2 linked regions of the Elephas maximus indicus genome follow. The main gene of each other region encodes a partner of the protein of the gene in region 2 in a complex. Links are inferred from orthologs where the notes say so. Each region holds a gene or a part of one and is shown on either strand. Other genes may lie near its edges.

What was found.
Region 1: the proteins of DISP1 (region 2) and SHH are in contact, whole or in part, in a cryo-EM structure (PDB 7E2I), measured with the Homo sapiens proteins. The link is inferred for Elephas maximus indicus from reciprocal best matches to the Homo sapiens genes DISP1 and SHH. Residues at the interface, in NP_001356523.1 of Homo sapiens: Lys242, Thr244, Gly245, Tyr246, Lys247, Ala248, Glu260, His265, Arg299, Phe336, Gly337, Asp338, Leu339, Cys340, Gln341, Arg342, Thr343, Glu459, Arg899, His904, Asp906; in NP_000184.1 of Homo sapiens: Pro49, Asn50, Val51, Thr55, Leu56, Gly57, Ala58, Arg68, Glu71, Phe73, Lys74, Leu76, Thr77, Pro78, Tyr80, Pro82, Arg96, Leu97, Gln100, Lys186.

Annotation. Positions count from the first base shown.
Region 1 is NC_064838.1:5,083,585-5,090,937, reverse strand, and holds the start of SHH (sonic hedgehog protein), read right to left. Parts: upstream 4,441-7,353; 5' UTR 4,152-4,440; coding exon 3,843-4,151; intron 1-3,842.
Region 2 is NC_064842.1:12,481,111-12,488,463, reverse strand, and holds the start of DISP1 (protein dispatched homolog 1), read right to left. Parts: upstream 4,025-7,353; 5' UTR 3,977-4,024; exon of another isoform or gene 3,883-3,976; intron 3,844-3,882; exon of another isoform or gene 3,202-3,843; intron 2,065-3,201; exon of another isoform or gene 1,976-2,064; intron 1-1,975. UniProt on the Homo sapiens protein: Functions in hedgehog (Hh) signaling. Regulates the release and extracellular accumulation of cholesterol-modified hedgehog proteins and is hence required for effective production of the Hh signal. Synergizes with SCUBE2 to cause an increase in SHH secretion.

The sequences.
Region 1 (7,353 bases), on a different chromosome or scaffold from region 2:
AAAAAAAAAAAAAAAAGGCAGAAGGGGAGAATTTGAGTGAGGTCATCTTGAGGACTGAACGCATTTTACATGAAAATCAATCAGACCAGGGTCAGTTTTAGAGCCTGGATATGAAGCCGGGGTGCGCGCAGGCGCACACACACTGACATGCACACAAACACCCCGAGCCTCCCTTCTGCTCCCTTCTTTGGGGGGAGATGACGCCTTAAACGGCGTTCCACCCGGTAACTGGGCAGGGAGACGGTGGGGCGGGGAGGCTTCAATCCCACCTCCCAGGCCCCTTGAGATGCGCCACTTGGAAAAGACGTGGAGGAACCCACGCGAGGAGCCCCTGGCCGAGCCAGGCCCGGTGAGTGGAGGTGGCGGCGCTGGGGACCGTCCGAGGCCGAGGGGCCGGCCTGAATGTGTCCCGGAGCCCAGCTCCCTCGTCGGCAGCTGACATCCCGGCAGAATTCTGGCCGGCCCCAGGGCCGGGCGGGCCTCGGCTGGCGGCTGCAGGACGCTCCTGGCTCCAGCCCGCTAGCTTGTCGGAGGCAAAGGCCGTGCAGCCAGGACCGGTTGTTCATTCACTGGGTCATGTGCCGCGAATCAGCCCGATTCTGTGCAGTCACCGTGAAGCCCAGCGGGGCCGCCTCGGCGCGGGCTTTGTGTCCGCAGAGGCAAAGTTGTTCCACACGCCTCAGCTCCCCGCCACACTCCCTAATCTCTACACAAACGAGCGCGCCGAGGAGGCGCTCGGCAGTATCAGTCGCTACGAGCAGCCGGGCGGGCTTCCCCCGGTGCCTAGGCGTGGGAGGGGCCTCCACCTCAAAAAGACATCCAGCTCGGCAACACCGCCTCTCTGTACCCCTCCAGCGCACAGAGAACCCCCATCCATGAAAAAGGAAACCCCCCCCAAGCTCACACATTGGCTCCTTTGCCTTGCCCGGCGGCTGCAGAGCAGGCAGGAAATGCAAGTAACGCGTCCTTTCAGGCTAAGCCCCCGACTTCAGCCTCCAGACCCGCCCCCGGTGGGCCTCCTACCCCTCGCAGCGCCCCTTCCCACCCGCGCCCCGCGAGCCGGCACCCGGGGCCTGCGCTGGGAGAGTGGTCTGTCTGCGTTCCCCTCTCTCGGGTTAATATTAACCAGGAGCTCATGCGTTCCAGAACTGCTCTGAAAGTTCCACTGGGGAAGATCTCGCCATGGTTGAGGGACTTGGGCAACGGTCACCTAGAGAGACCTAGAGACACACCCAGAGACAAGGAGAGAGACTAGACGGAGGAGGAGACCCTCAAGACGCACACCTGAGAGCAGAGTCCAGGCGTTTCTGTAAAAGTGAGGAGCCCAGCAGGCAAGCAAGTTCCCCGAGAAGCTCCAGACCTTCGCGCGGCCTGAGAGGCACTTTCCTGCCTCTGAAGCCCACACGTTCCCTGCCCTTACAAGACCCAAGACGTCTGCCTCTCTCACCCCATTCCTGTCCCCGCCCCCCTTTAACTCCTAGAATCTGCAGAAGAGGGAAATGCCAGAGGAGGGACAACCAGGGGGCACATTCCAGCCGCCACCCCCAACCATCCACGTTTTTAGGGTACCTGGGGGGGGTCAGTGCTGTAACCCTGGCCTGGCTCTCCCCCCCACCCCACCCCACCCCACCCCACCCCACCCCACCCCCACTTTGGCCACCCTTCCCCCCTCCTTTTGTGTTAGGAACGGGAATGGCCACTGCTGAAGGAAAAAAAAGTATTTGTTTTCGTTTCGTTCGTCTGAGGGAAGTTGACAGAAGGTCAGAAGTTCAAATGCTGCTAGCGAATGCGGCGGCGCGAGAGGCGCGGCGTGGGGCGGGCGCGGCCCCGTGTTCCCGGGCAGGGCGGGCGGGAGGCGCGGAGCGGGATGGAGGGCTCCTTGCGGCGCCCAGGGGGCTCGGAGACCCGGGAGGCCCGGCCGCGCCGTCACCACACCCCTGCCTCCTCCCCGCACGCGCCCCACCCCCGCCGCCGCCGCCGGGTTAATGAGGGTGATTAGCGCCCCATTAGGATGAGCCCCACGCTCGCGGTTCTGGAGCTGATTCCTGCGTGTGCGCGTGCAGGGCAGGGACTGCGCGGCGGCGGCGGCGGCGACGGCCCGAGCCCAGCTCCGCCGCACAAACTGAAACCCTAGCCTCTGAGATCGATAACCGAGGAGTAAGTGGAGCTGAAAATGCGTCTGACTTGGGGCTCGGCTTCTTGGGCCTACAGCTTCCCAGAAGGGCGCTGAGGACCCAGAGCTCGGAGCAGGGGGCGCGGGACTCGGTGGGGGTCCCTTGCACCCACAAAGGCAGATGCTGACCGGCCCGACTCGGGACCCTCCGGTGTCTCCGCCCCGCCGCTTCTCTCTTCTCCCCTCCCCTGAGTGCGGAAAGACCCCCGGGAAGGCTCCTCGCGGGGGGCGAAGGGGACCAGGGGGCGGCGAGGCCCGGAGAGCCAGAGAACTTCCTCCAGCCGGCCGCACGCCCCCGGCCCCCTTGGGGCCACGCAGAGTTAATCGTGGCTTCTGTGGGGCACAAGCGCGCGGCCACACTCTTGGGCCCGATTTAAGGTGGTCGGGAGCAGATGAGGGAGACCGAGGAAAGAGAATCCTCTCCTCCACTCCCACTTCGCCCCCACCGGGCAGCTAGAGCTGGTTCCCCAGCTGGCCCTTCCCTTTCTCCGCACCCGCAACAAGCCCAGGAATGGGGTTGGAAGCAGAAGAGCTACGAGGTAGCTCCTCTCTGCCTCCCCCCGCCTCTCCTCCCCCCCCTCCCGCCACACTTGCGCCCCGCCAGCGCCGCTCCGTCAGCCTGTGCGCTTCTAGCCCTAAAGGTAGGATTTGAATATTTTAATAGGGCAATAAAAATGATGCTGACCTATATTTGCGAGGAAACCCATTTCTAGCTTCAGTTACATATGCATGGAGTTTCAGAAAGTCTGGAATTGGCAGGTAGCTTTTTAGCCCAGATGTCTCAAAGGAGATGGGCGAGGGGAAAGGATTAATATTTTGCTTTGGTTTTCCTTTCCACCCCTTTCCCATTAATATTTATTCCCTCGTAATTTCTATGCAAGCTGATTGAAAACTGAAGTGATGCAATGCCAGTAAGTTCCAAGTCCCTCCCCTAAGGTACCTCGGGCTTAGGAGAATGAAAGAGCATCCTTAAAGAAATATCAATATATTCACACTCCGATGGGCACAATCACACTCGATGGAATCGCAAGGCAAGCTATGTGACACAGTCATGGACAGCTAGAGCCGCCTCCGAAGCCACTGCCTTTTGTCAGAACCGCCTTCCTGGCTTTTCCAATGGAAGATTCTTTGGTGGGGGGTGGTCGGGTGGGGGTAGTCATGGGAAGAAAAAACACAGAAGAGAGGGGGAAAGTATGAGCTTGGAGATCTAACGCTTCGAGCCTACATTTGTAGCAGTGACCTGAGGCCACTTTATGTTTATGGGGGGGATTCCCACCCCCCCTCTGCATCTCCACTCCTGACTCTCCAGTAAAGCCACAGACTTGGAAAAGGCAGACGCCCGGAAAGTGAAGGTCTCTCCAAGTTACAAGCCAGAGCACAGCCAGGGTGGGGAGAGCCATCCTAGTAAGACAGAGATGAAATCAGGGCCATAAATGGGATCACATACCCAGCCATTCTCACCCCCGCCCATACCCTAAACTTCTGGACCCATAACCTCCATTCCTCCAGGAAGAGGAAGGGGTGGCAGGTAGGTAGGAGGGTGGGGAAGGACAGAGTGAAATCGCCTTTAAATCTGCTTAAAAAGCAAAGAAACCAAGTCTAGAACGGCTTCGTTCCACGTAGCTCGCTTTAAAGGAACACATTCCACGCCCCAGAGCTGGGTTTCTACCTGAGTCATCAGCCGGTCCGCTCCGGTGTTTTCTTCATCCTTAAATATGATGTCAGGGTTGTAATTGGGGGTGAGTTCCTTAAATCGCTCGGAGTTTCTCGAGATCTTCCCTTCGTATCTTCCACTGGCCCCTAGGGTCTTCTCGGCCACATTGGGGATAAACTGTTTGTAGGCTAAAGGGGTCAGCTTTTTGGGGTGTCTCCTCTTCCCAAATCCCCTGCCGGGTCCGCACGCCAGCCCTGAGCACATCAAGAGCGTGGAGACCAGGACCACCACCAGACATCTCGCCAGAAGCAGCATCTCGTCCATGGAGCCCAATTACTTCCAAGCTCTCCCGTGTGTGTCTGTGTGTGTGAGCGTGTGTGTGTGCGCGCGTGTGCGTGTTCGCTCTCTCTTGCGCTCTCCCTTTCTCGCTCCGGCTCGCTTGCTGCCTTGCTCTCTCCCTCGCTCTCTTTCTCTTCCTATATAACCTTGCCCGCCGCCGCTGCGTGGGACTCTCCACCGATCCCCAGCCAGACAGGTGCTGGAATGGCAGGCTGCCGGTCTCTGATAACGGAACACATCGGAGATGGGTCGCGAGACAGCAATCAAAAGACAAAAAGAGTCTGATTTTAAATGGTAGCAAGCCTAGAGACGCTTGTGAGAGAGGCTGCCTTTAGTACTATATTATAGCTGGCAGGGGCGTATCTGATTGGCCAAGGCAACACAAGCTTGTCTTCTGATGTTTAACCCTCAAAAAGGCTACAATTTTTTTTTCTGTTGCTGCTGCTGCTTTATTTTCACCTGAAGGCTTCGAGTAAAAAAAAAAAAAATCTTTACTAAAACAAAGGTGGGAGGGAGGGCGAGGCACATTTCTCAGGATAACATCAATTATACCCTGCTTTGTGTGTATCCGTGTTTCCCCCTTTACTTTCTTGGGAATGGTAGGTGCTTCAGTTAAAACCAACTTAAGTTTTTAAAGGACAGCACAGACCCCCCAAAGCTTTGATCATCAAACAAATATCTCCTCAAATGTTTCAGGGGCAAAGCTTGCCAGGTCTTATTTAAAATTGTTAGGGATTTTAGCATTCAGGCCAGGTCTCCCATCTGAGCCTCCTCTGCCTGAATGCTCAGCATCTTTGGAAGAAGGATAATTATGAGTGACCACAACTTAGTAATGTGAGTTGAAGTGCTTCACATGCCTTAGAAAAACTTTAAAATACTGCCACTTTATTGTTTGTATCAATGCATGGTTTCTGAAACCTCTGAAGATAGGATGGAGGTGTGTTAAGGGTAGGTACAGAGTGAGCTGATGGACTGTCAAGGTCCAGGGGCAAAGTGGGTCTCAGGTGCTGGACACCCCCAGCTCTGGGAAGGGAGCCTGTGCTTGTGTGTGCTGTGGGCGGAGGCTCATTGTGCCTGGAGGGCAGCAGTGAGTGGGCAAGGCTTTGCAAACACCACCCCCACAGATCAATAGGAGCAAAGTGCAGGGCCAAGGGATGAGTGAAGTGTAAAGTTAAGGCTCCTTGCTATGGCGTCTGGTGCTGGCGCTAAATGGAGCTGGCCACATCATGGGCTCTGCAGCCTGGAGGGGTGCAGGTGGCTGGAGCAGCTCCGGCTCTGGTCAAATAGGGGTGTCCTAGTGTCCAGAGAACAGCAATATGAGACCCCCAATCCCTGCAGTCCTTCCAGAAAACACACACTCACACACCCACAACTTTCTAACTAAACTAGAAAAATAAAACCTGACACTCCCTCTTTTTGCAGAACATACCCCCATCTCAACCTCCCCCCATTCCACGCATAAGCAAGAATACCTCTGGAGTGGGGCAAGGGAGTGTTATTCATGTGGACTAGAAATACTGACCCTGACAAATAATCAGATACTGTGAGTGTTGGCCTCTGCAGTTCAGTATTCTGCCTTGACCCCAAACCACGCAGTGGTGTGAGAACGGTCTGAAGGTTCACCCAGCAAAACAATGGGAAGTTGCTAGCAGTCCATCAATGTTCCTATGCCCAAATCTTTTTTTTTTTTTTTGAGGGGGTCATCTTAAGCGACATCTAGCTGCACTCCACCCATTCGTGCTCCTCTACAAAGGTTGACAAGTCCCTCCCCCCTCCCCCCTCGCATCTCTCTCTCTTTTCTATTCTGTGATTTTTGAAGAACCAAAATACCGAGCCTAAGAAGAGCGCTGACCTCTGGGCAAGGTGGGAAGGCAGCACCCAGTTCTATCCAGAAAGACTCAGGCAGGAACGAAGAGTTCTCCAATTAGCCGGAGACAATTCAACTCTGTTGATAAACCCGGGGCTTAATTTATTGTCCAGGGTGTGTGTGTGTGTGTGTGTGTGTGTGTGTGTGTGCGCGCCTCTCTCTGTATATTGTGTGCTCCCAGGAAAAAACTGATACAAAAAAAGATATAACGCTGTATACCAAAGAAGGTAGGCTTGTTTGATGTGGTTACCTCGGGTAGCACGTGTTGATGTAATATCACTAAATAGTGCCGCGGTTTAAGAAGCGATCCCGACAGTGTGGGATACTTGCAAACCTTTTCATCACCCTCCCCCGCCTTGGCACCTCCTTCGGCCCCAGTGCCTTTCCTTTCCCTTCTCTTTTTCGCTCTTCGCGCTCTCCCCTAAAGACCTAGGTGCCCGCACAGGGCGGGAGCGCCCGGGCGGCGAAGCTGGGGGTTGAGGCCAGAGACTCTGGGGCTGCGGGCCGCGCGTGTACCCAGCAGCCAGCAGGGCTCCTGCGGCGCAGACACGCTGGGGAGGTGCGCGTCCGGTGCAGGCAGTAAACGCACGTGGAAAAGTCTAACGCCCCCAGCGTGCCGGGTGTGGGACTTGGGTTATGAAAGCCAAAGCCGAGCTGGAGAGTCCAGGCTGCGGGGCGCGGTGGGCGGTGTGACCTGGGGGCCCGGCCGGGCTCTCCCGGATCAGGAAAGAGCCGAGCGTGACTCCGGCGGCGCGGTCCCTCCCTCTTCGCAGAGACCAGGAAGGGGACGCGGCGCGCACTGCGCTCGGGCTCCGGCGGAGGCTCCCCGGGAGGGCCGGCGCCGAGGCCACCTCCCTCCTCGCCATCTCCATCCGGCCCTGGAGACCCCGGAGAGCCTGTCAGCGGCCGCCGTCTCAGGGGCTCGTTTGGATCCTCCCGATTCAAAGAGTGATGGACAAATCGCTGTAAAATCCGCCACTGACGCCTTCTTCCGGAGGGCTTGCTCCCGGCGGCGGGTTGCCCGGGGAGGGGGAATAGGGACAAAAATCACGCGCAGTCCGTGTGCATTGTCTTAGGCACTCAGGGTCTGCATTACTGGGCGCCCGGCCGAGCTTCCCGGGGCCGCGGCGGTCTCCGCGCCTCCCTCCCCCTCCCACTTCCCCTTTCCTTTCATCTCGCCCACTTCCCATTTCCCAGACACCAGACACTCGCTCGTCTTCCACCTCCAGACACCAGATGGCTCCCTCTCTTTGCCTTTCCCCCTCCAGACAGTTCGGCCCCTCCTTCTGCCGGGCAGCGGTTCCAAACCCCAGCCGTCTG
Region 2 (7,353 bases):
TAAGTGGATCTGGATAAAGGGCACACGAGTGTTCCTTGTACTATCTTTACTTTTGCAACTTTAGTCAATTACATACTATCCAACAGACATCACTTAGGTTTAAAATACTGGGAGTTAAATCTAACACTGCTATTTACATAGTTACAAAGTTCTTGTGCAAAAGTCTACAACTTGATTATGTATCACCTCCTCAGGCCTGCCTCTTCACTCCACCCCCATAACTGGAATACACTCATATCTACTGTTTGGTCTTCTCACATCTACAATGTACTCAGGGAGTCTCCATGCCTTCATCTTCTCAATTTTGAAAATGTTGATAGTTACTGCTGAGTCGATTCCAATTCTGACTTACACTCATGCTAAAATAAACTTCAGTACTTGTTCTTCTATTCACTTCTCAACCCTCCCTCAAACCTCTTCATGATTCCTTAGTACCACGTAAACTCTGACTTCGGGAGTCTCTGCCAGGTCGTTCTTGTGAGAGGTGGGAGGGGCTTGCCCCAGGTGCATGCAGTAAAGGGATGCACTGCCTGTAGAGAATTAAAAACAATAATAAAACCAGATGAAAGTCTGTCTGCTTTTTATTATCATCATGTGCTAGAAATTCTAAACAACCTCAGTGCTAAGACATTCCTTGGACCACAGACAGCTCCCATGATTGCCCCTCAGAATGCCACGGGTAATGGCCAACCTCCTCCTCCAAGTCAAATCTTTTATGCAATAGTTCTTCCTTTCCTTAGGCTCTCAAACCAAATAAAACTAACAACAACAAAGGCTAAAAGTTACCAGTGTATTTTCCATATTATTTGCAATTGTGAGGTATATCATATTGCTTTAACAGAAAACTTCATATATAATTTAACCTGATGCCTCACCCTAAGCAAAACTGAGTCAAGGCCATATATAACATAGTAGAGTCCATTTATGTAATCTGATCAATTATGATTTAGTATTAAAACCATTTTAAAAATCAATAATCTGAACAAGTATTTCAAAGCCATAATTGCAAGCCTACCAAAAAAAAAAAAAAAAAAAACCCATTGCCATGGAGTCAATTCCAACTCATAGCAACCCTATAGGACAGCAGAGCTGCCACACAGTTTCCAGGGAGTGCCTGATAGATTTGAACTGCCAGCCTTTTGGTTAGCCATAGCCACTATGCCACCAGGGTTTCTACTGCAAGCCTAGAAGCTGGGAAATTTGCCAAGATTTATGGGATTAAACTCAGCTGAATGGACAGGGCCCTACTAATAGGACTGCAGTCCTATATGGCTGCTCTGATGCCCTGATGAGTCACTCTGAGGCACAGGTCCTCTTGGTCACTATGAAAGAAAATGCTTAAACACAGCAGAGGAAGGAGGACAGAAAAGTGATCCTAAGAGAGGGGCTGATTCCGCCTCAGTCAACCCTGCTGACAGCCATGCTCTGCTTCACTGGCAATGTAGCAGCTGAATGGTAGGTCAGCAGAAATCAGCACAGTACTCTATTTGGTACCTCCCTGTGCAGAAGCTGTACCCCTCAGCTGTAACAAATTCTCCTAATTCTATCAATGACAGGGAATGACTTTCTAACTAGGGTATACAGAAAACTGAGAATGGACTACATAAAAAAAAAATTGATAACCAGAAAATGTGGAACCAAAAGAATCAATACACCAAATTACGTTATTACCAACTGATGATTAAAGAAAATAAAATGCCTACGTTGTGTATACGAAGAAAGAGTCTTCATTACTGCTGTTTTAATAGTTCTTCCAATGCACTGATACATATTTCACCGTATAACTAGGAGTTTGCCAAACCCTAATAAAAAATGCAATTACTAGTTAAGCTGTAAAATACAACTAAACCCAGAAGAATGACAACACACAGAATTTATCTAGCATGAAAGCTAAGACATTTACTCTACCATTAAAACAAAGAACAAAAACTCCAAAGATTATGCAGAACGCAGGGCAATCAAATTTCAACCATACCTTTCAGACATATAACTGAAGGCAGGCACTCTTACGTCTCAACGAGCACTTCCTCCAACCATGAATTACAGTCTTTGTTTCCCAAAACACTGAGGTAAAAGAGGAAAAATATATCTTTTAAACCACAACTGTATGGAAAAATAAGAACAGGTCTTATCAGATAAATAGTCTTGTCTACTCCAAAGAAATAAATTTAGACATATACAGAACCCAGCACGCAGTTAATAACTTTAGAGATTGGTGTCATCATTTCATTCTCGAACTTGAAAAGTTATTCAATATGCTCATCCACGTTTTAAATCATTGTTTATGTTTATGCTTCACTTTTGCAAATATCAGCTGTGCCCTTAAACATAAGAAAATTATAAGTCCTCTTACTCAGCACAGCCCTTCAAGGCCATCAAGAGTTAATGAGCTAGCAAGACACTGAGGTGACAATGAATATCAAATGTTCTAGTTTACTTGAATGAATTCAAGTCAGGCCACCCATATCAGATCTAAAAGTCATCAATAGAGCAATTTCAAAAAAAAAAAAAAATTCTAACACTTTAAAGATCAAACACCTGAAGCATAACAATTGTTAAATATCACTCTCTGCCACTGACAGTATTAGGATTCTTCTCAGCTACTTTACACACACCAAAACCAAACCCACTGCCTTCGAGTCTATTCCGACTCACAGTGACCCTATAGGACAGAGTAGAACTGCCCCAGAGGGTTCCCAAGGGGCGCTGGTGGATTTGAACTGACCTTTTGGTTAGCAGCCAATCTCTTAACCACTGTGCCACCAGTTCATGGCAAAAATCTAACTCATTGACCACCTACTTACATAATGTAGATTAGGAAGACTATATTAACTGCTGCATATAAAACATAAACACAATGTAGACAATAACTAAAACTGATAATAATTACCTTCCAGTAAAGATCAAAACAAGCCTGCACTCTACACACTGGCCTTTAAGAAAAACTAAATGTACTATTGTGTATATAACCACAGATTTCACTATTTTTTTTTAAGTACTTCCAAAGTAGTACTTTTTAGAAATCAAAAATTCTTAGAAATTGTTAATAATCTGCTGCACCCTAATCTAAAATTGTCCTTCCTGGTTAAGCTTAAAAACTAAACCCAATAGGATAACTTTTAGAAAAAATGTGTTAGAAAGTTGGGCAGGTAAAGCAGGAGCGAGCCGTAAGCGCCAACGTTGACAGCAGTGGCTTCCCACCTGATAATGACTGTGGTTTTCAATGCATCCAGGAGTCCATCCCCTGACAAAGGAAGTAAGTCAGCCTAAACTCTGCAGAGTAAAGTCCAAAAGGAAAAGTTCGGTTGGCTTGTCTGTATGACGAGAACTTTAAGATACTATTAATTTGACAAAGAAAAGCACATAATTTCGGGCTGGGTGAGGAAGACTTTACGTTTTCCCTGAAAGAGTAAAATACTTTCCTGGAATTCACAAAAACACATTTGAAAAAACCAGCATTAACTGAAGTCAAGCAATCCGAGCTCAGCATCCAGTCGGTGGCTCATCATCTCTCTCACCCGTTAGGTCGAGACGCCCTTCTCAGCTGCGCCCCTCGCAGAGGGACAGACCGGCTCCATCTACCCTCTCCGTGGAAGCCCATCTCTGCCATCTCGGGCCACCCTCGCAGGCGCTCCGCCGGGACCCGGGACACTCCCCCTGCGCGGGGCTGCAGAGCGGCTGCCCTCCGAGAGGCACCTCTGCCCAGGGTCGTCCGCAACCCCCAGCCCCGGACCCTCCGGCCCCAGGTCCCCGGCACCTCCCTCCGCAGCCCCTCACGGCTGCCCTCAGGGGTCGCCTCCCCTTGGCCGGCCCCCGCTCCAGGCTCCCGCTCCCTGCCTCGGGACCCCAGCTCGCAGGGCGCCCAGGCTCTGCCGTCCCTACCCGTTCTCCCCGTCCCGCGGCGCCGAGCGACAGCGGGGCCAGCAGGCATCCACAGAGGAGACAAGCGTGTGGGACCTCCCAGCTCCGAACTCACCTCCACTCCCGGCTCTCGGATCTTGGCCCGGAGCCCGGCTTCCGCCTCGCACCGGAAGGCGTTCACCGCGCGACCGGAAGTCCCGCCCCGCCTGCTCCCCGCCCGCTCGCCTGCCGGGTTCCCGCAGGGAGCACCTGGAGGAGCTGAGAGGTGCAGGGGTGCTCGGCAGGTGTCGGGCCGGAGTCTCCTTTCTCCCGCGTTCGTTCTCTTTTTCAGTCAGCAACTCTGCAAACGCTTGACCGCTCGCCTGCCGGGTTCCCGCAGGGAGCACCTGGAGGAGCTGAGAGGTGCAGGGGTGCTCGGCAGGTGTCGGGCCGGAGTCTCCTTTCTCCCGCGTTCGTTCTCTTTTTCAGTCAGCAACTCTGCAAACGCTTGACCAAGCGCCTGCCTATTCCGCTCAAGCCCTGCGAGGAACACTCAGACACTGACTCCTGCCCTCGCTGGTAGAAAATTGACAAATAAAAACAAAGGTTAACCACACTAAGCGGTGGTATTTCTTCCTTCATTCATTAATTGAACAAACTTGTATTACCTACTACGTATCACTCATTCCACAGCAGTAACAGACGGAAGCGTAAACTCAGGACAATGAACTGAGCATAGAATAAATCAGAGAGCGACCGGTCCCTCGGAAGCTTAGTGTAGTGTAGGGACACAGATATGTGAGCAAACGAGTGCAATAACGATCAGGTGCACAGGACTACGGCAGTGCTATGGGCCAAAAGTAGGCAATGGCGGAGTGCAGGGAGCTAGGCGGAAAAGGCTTTCTAGAGATGTTGACTCTCCCGTTGTCGTGGAAATAAATGATAATAAAGCTAGGTGGTGGACAAGATCCTGAAGGGCATGCTGAGCAGATGCCAGGGAATGAGTTTGATTTGTTCAGGGGTACAGTTAATTTATCAAGGCCTGAGATCATGGCGGTAACGCCAGATTATGAACACTATTGTACATTACGCTGAGAAATTTGGACTTCAGCCTGCATGTAACTGGAAATCAGTGAGGTCTTCTAGGGGAACTAACAAAAAGTGAGTCATGAGGTTGCCTAGGATGATTGACCTGGTCATCAAAGAAAAATAAGAACTTGAAAGATCACGATAGAACATTTTGCCCTCAAAGGTGCTTTCTCAAACTGCCATACGCCATTATAAAGACGGTGGATGACTACCAAATCAAACCTGTTGCTGTCAGGTCGACTGCAACTCATAGTGACCCTAAACCAAAACCAAACGCATTGCCATGGAGTTGATTCCGACTCATGATGACCTTACAAGATAGAGTAGAACTGTCCCATAAGGTTTCCAAGGAGCGGCTGGTGGATTCAAACTGTCGGCCTTTTGGTTAGCAGCTGAGCTTTTACCACTGCGCCAGCAGAGCTCATACCTCTCGGCTTGCCCCAGGGTGACCAACTGTCCTGGTTTGCCAAGGACTGAGAGAAATCTCATGACGCTGGACTTCCATTGCTTAAACTGGGACAGTCTGGGGAAACCAGGACAAATTGGTCACCCTATCATGTCCTCTAACAGGTTAGTCCAAAAATGGGGACATCCTACACTGGGCCATTTAGATTCTTTCTCCCAGGAACACTAAATGTGAAACAGGGAAACAGAGAAAGACAGCCATTAGAGCTGAGACGTACAAATAGGAGGGCCCTCAAGAGAAGATCTATAAATACCTTTGCCAAGGACCCTGGTCTTGCCCTGTGTCCTTTGATTACACGAGATATCTCTATATACTTCCAATACACTTTTTGCTTAACTAGCCAAAGTAGGCATCTACTGCTTGCAACCAAAATAATCTTAAAGAGCATACCCATAATATCCACTTATTAAAGGTAATCTGCATCCAGAGCCCCTACTGAGTAGTCAAAGTTGAATGACCATTGCCACAGCGCTGCACCATGTTCTAGGGTGGACCAGATGTGCACTCTTAGTCCATATAGGGCTAAGAGAGTCTCATGCATGGATTTTGGAGTTTGCATACAAAACTCCACTTGGTCTCTCCTGCATGCTTAGAAATGTCATGTAAACTTAGGATTGACTTAGACATGAGCAAGATGTCTAAAGCTGGTGGAGAAAAAAAGGAGAGGAACAAGAGGAAGGAAGAGGAAGTAGGAATGAGAAGGAGAAAAGAGAAGAAAATTTTCTCCGAGGTGGTAGTCCTAGTTCCCATTTTTGCATTTTTAATCCCCAATTTCTTGTAAGGCCCAGCTAAACTTCCTCCATCTTTAAACTCTTTGAAAATTGTATGTCTTTCCAGTAAATTTCCCATTTTTCTTAGGTTAATTTTAGTAGGTTTCTGTTCCTGGCAATCAAAACACCAAGGCATCAACTCCCCAAGACACAGCATTGCCTGCCCACTTGATAGCACCTATCTTTTCTCACCAGAGTTCTCAGCCAACTTCTCCCCCCGCCCCCCAGGTCAATGACAAAAGGAGAATTTGCACACCTCCACTGCTCCTGGCCCCTTCAGGAAAACTGTCACAATAGCTGTGGAGTTTGATAACTTTAGTGTTAAAATCACATGGATGGGGAGAATCATATGCCCACAGAATACAAAGTTGGAAGGAGGCTTTGGAAACCATGTATTCCAAATTTTTCATTAGCCAGAGCTAAAGAGAGTTGAAGTCCAGCTAGGCATAGTGGTTTTTCTAAGGCCAAACAGCTCAATAGTGTTACCTAACCTGGAAAGGTGGGTCCTTGTCCAGCACGCTCAGACTTGCCAATTATCTGGACACCGCTCTTTGAGAAAGAGAAGGTAACTTTATTGCAGTGCACACAGCAAGGAGCCAGGAGGAAGTTCCTCAGGTGCAGCTCCTCCAGCTATGGGTAGACAGGGCTTATATACGAGGGCCGCAAGATGGTGGTCGCACAGGTGTTCTGGGGAGGGAAAACTCTAGAAGGCTGCCAGGAAACAGGAGGTGACATGGTTCCTGTTGGACCTCTAGCTTCGAGATAGGGTCGGGGTGATGATTTTTCCTTCTGATTCTTTCCTCCTGTTGCTGCGTCCTCTGTTGAGGTCCATTAGCGATCACATCTGGCCCTTCTGCACATGTGGGGCGAGCCAAATATGATTTGGGCTAGTTTAATGACCAATGGAAATTTACTGGCATGTGTAGGGTCAGGTTACAGTACTTTCAGAAACAAGACTAGTTCAAGATCTCCTCTCTACTAGTTCACTGCTCTGCCTGCTTCCTTTGGGGTAGGATGCCACTCTGCTCTGTTGATCAGATATGTTACTGTGAGCCAGGAGAGAAGATTTTAAGGAAAAATTTCCTTTTTTTTTTTGGTACTCACCAACTGGCTCAGACAGATGGGTAATTAACAGAGCTGATAAGGTGATCACGAGTTGGAATAGACTCCATGGCAACTGGTTTGGTT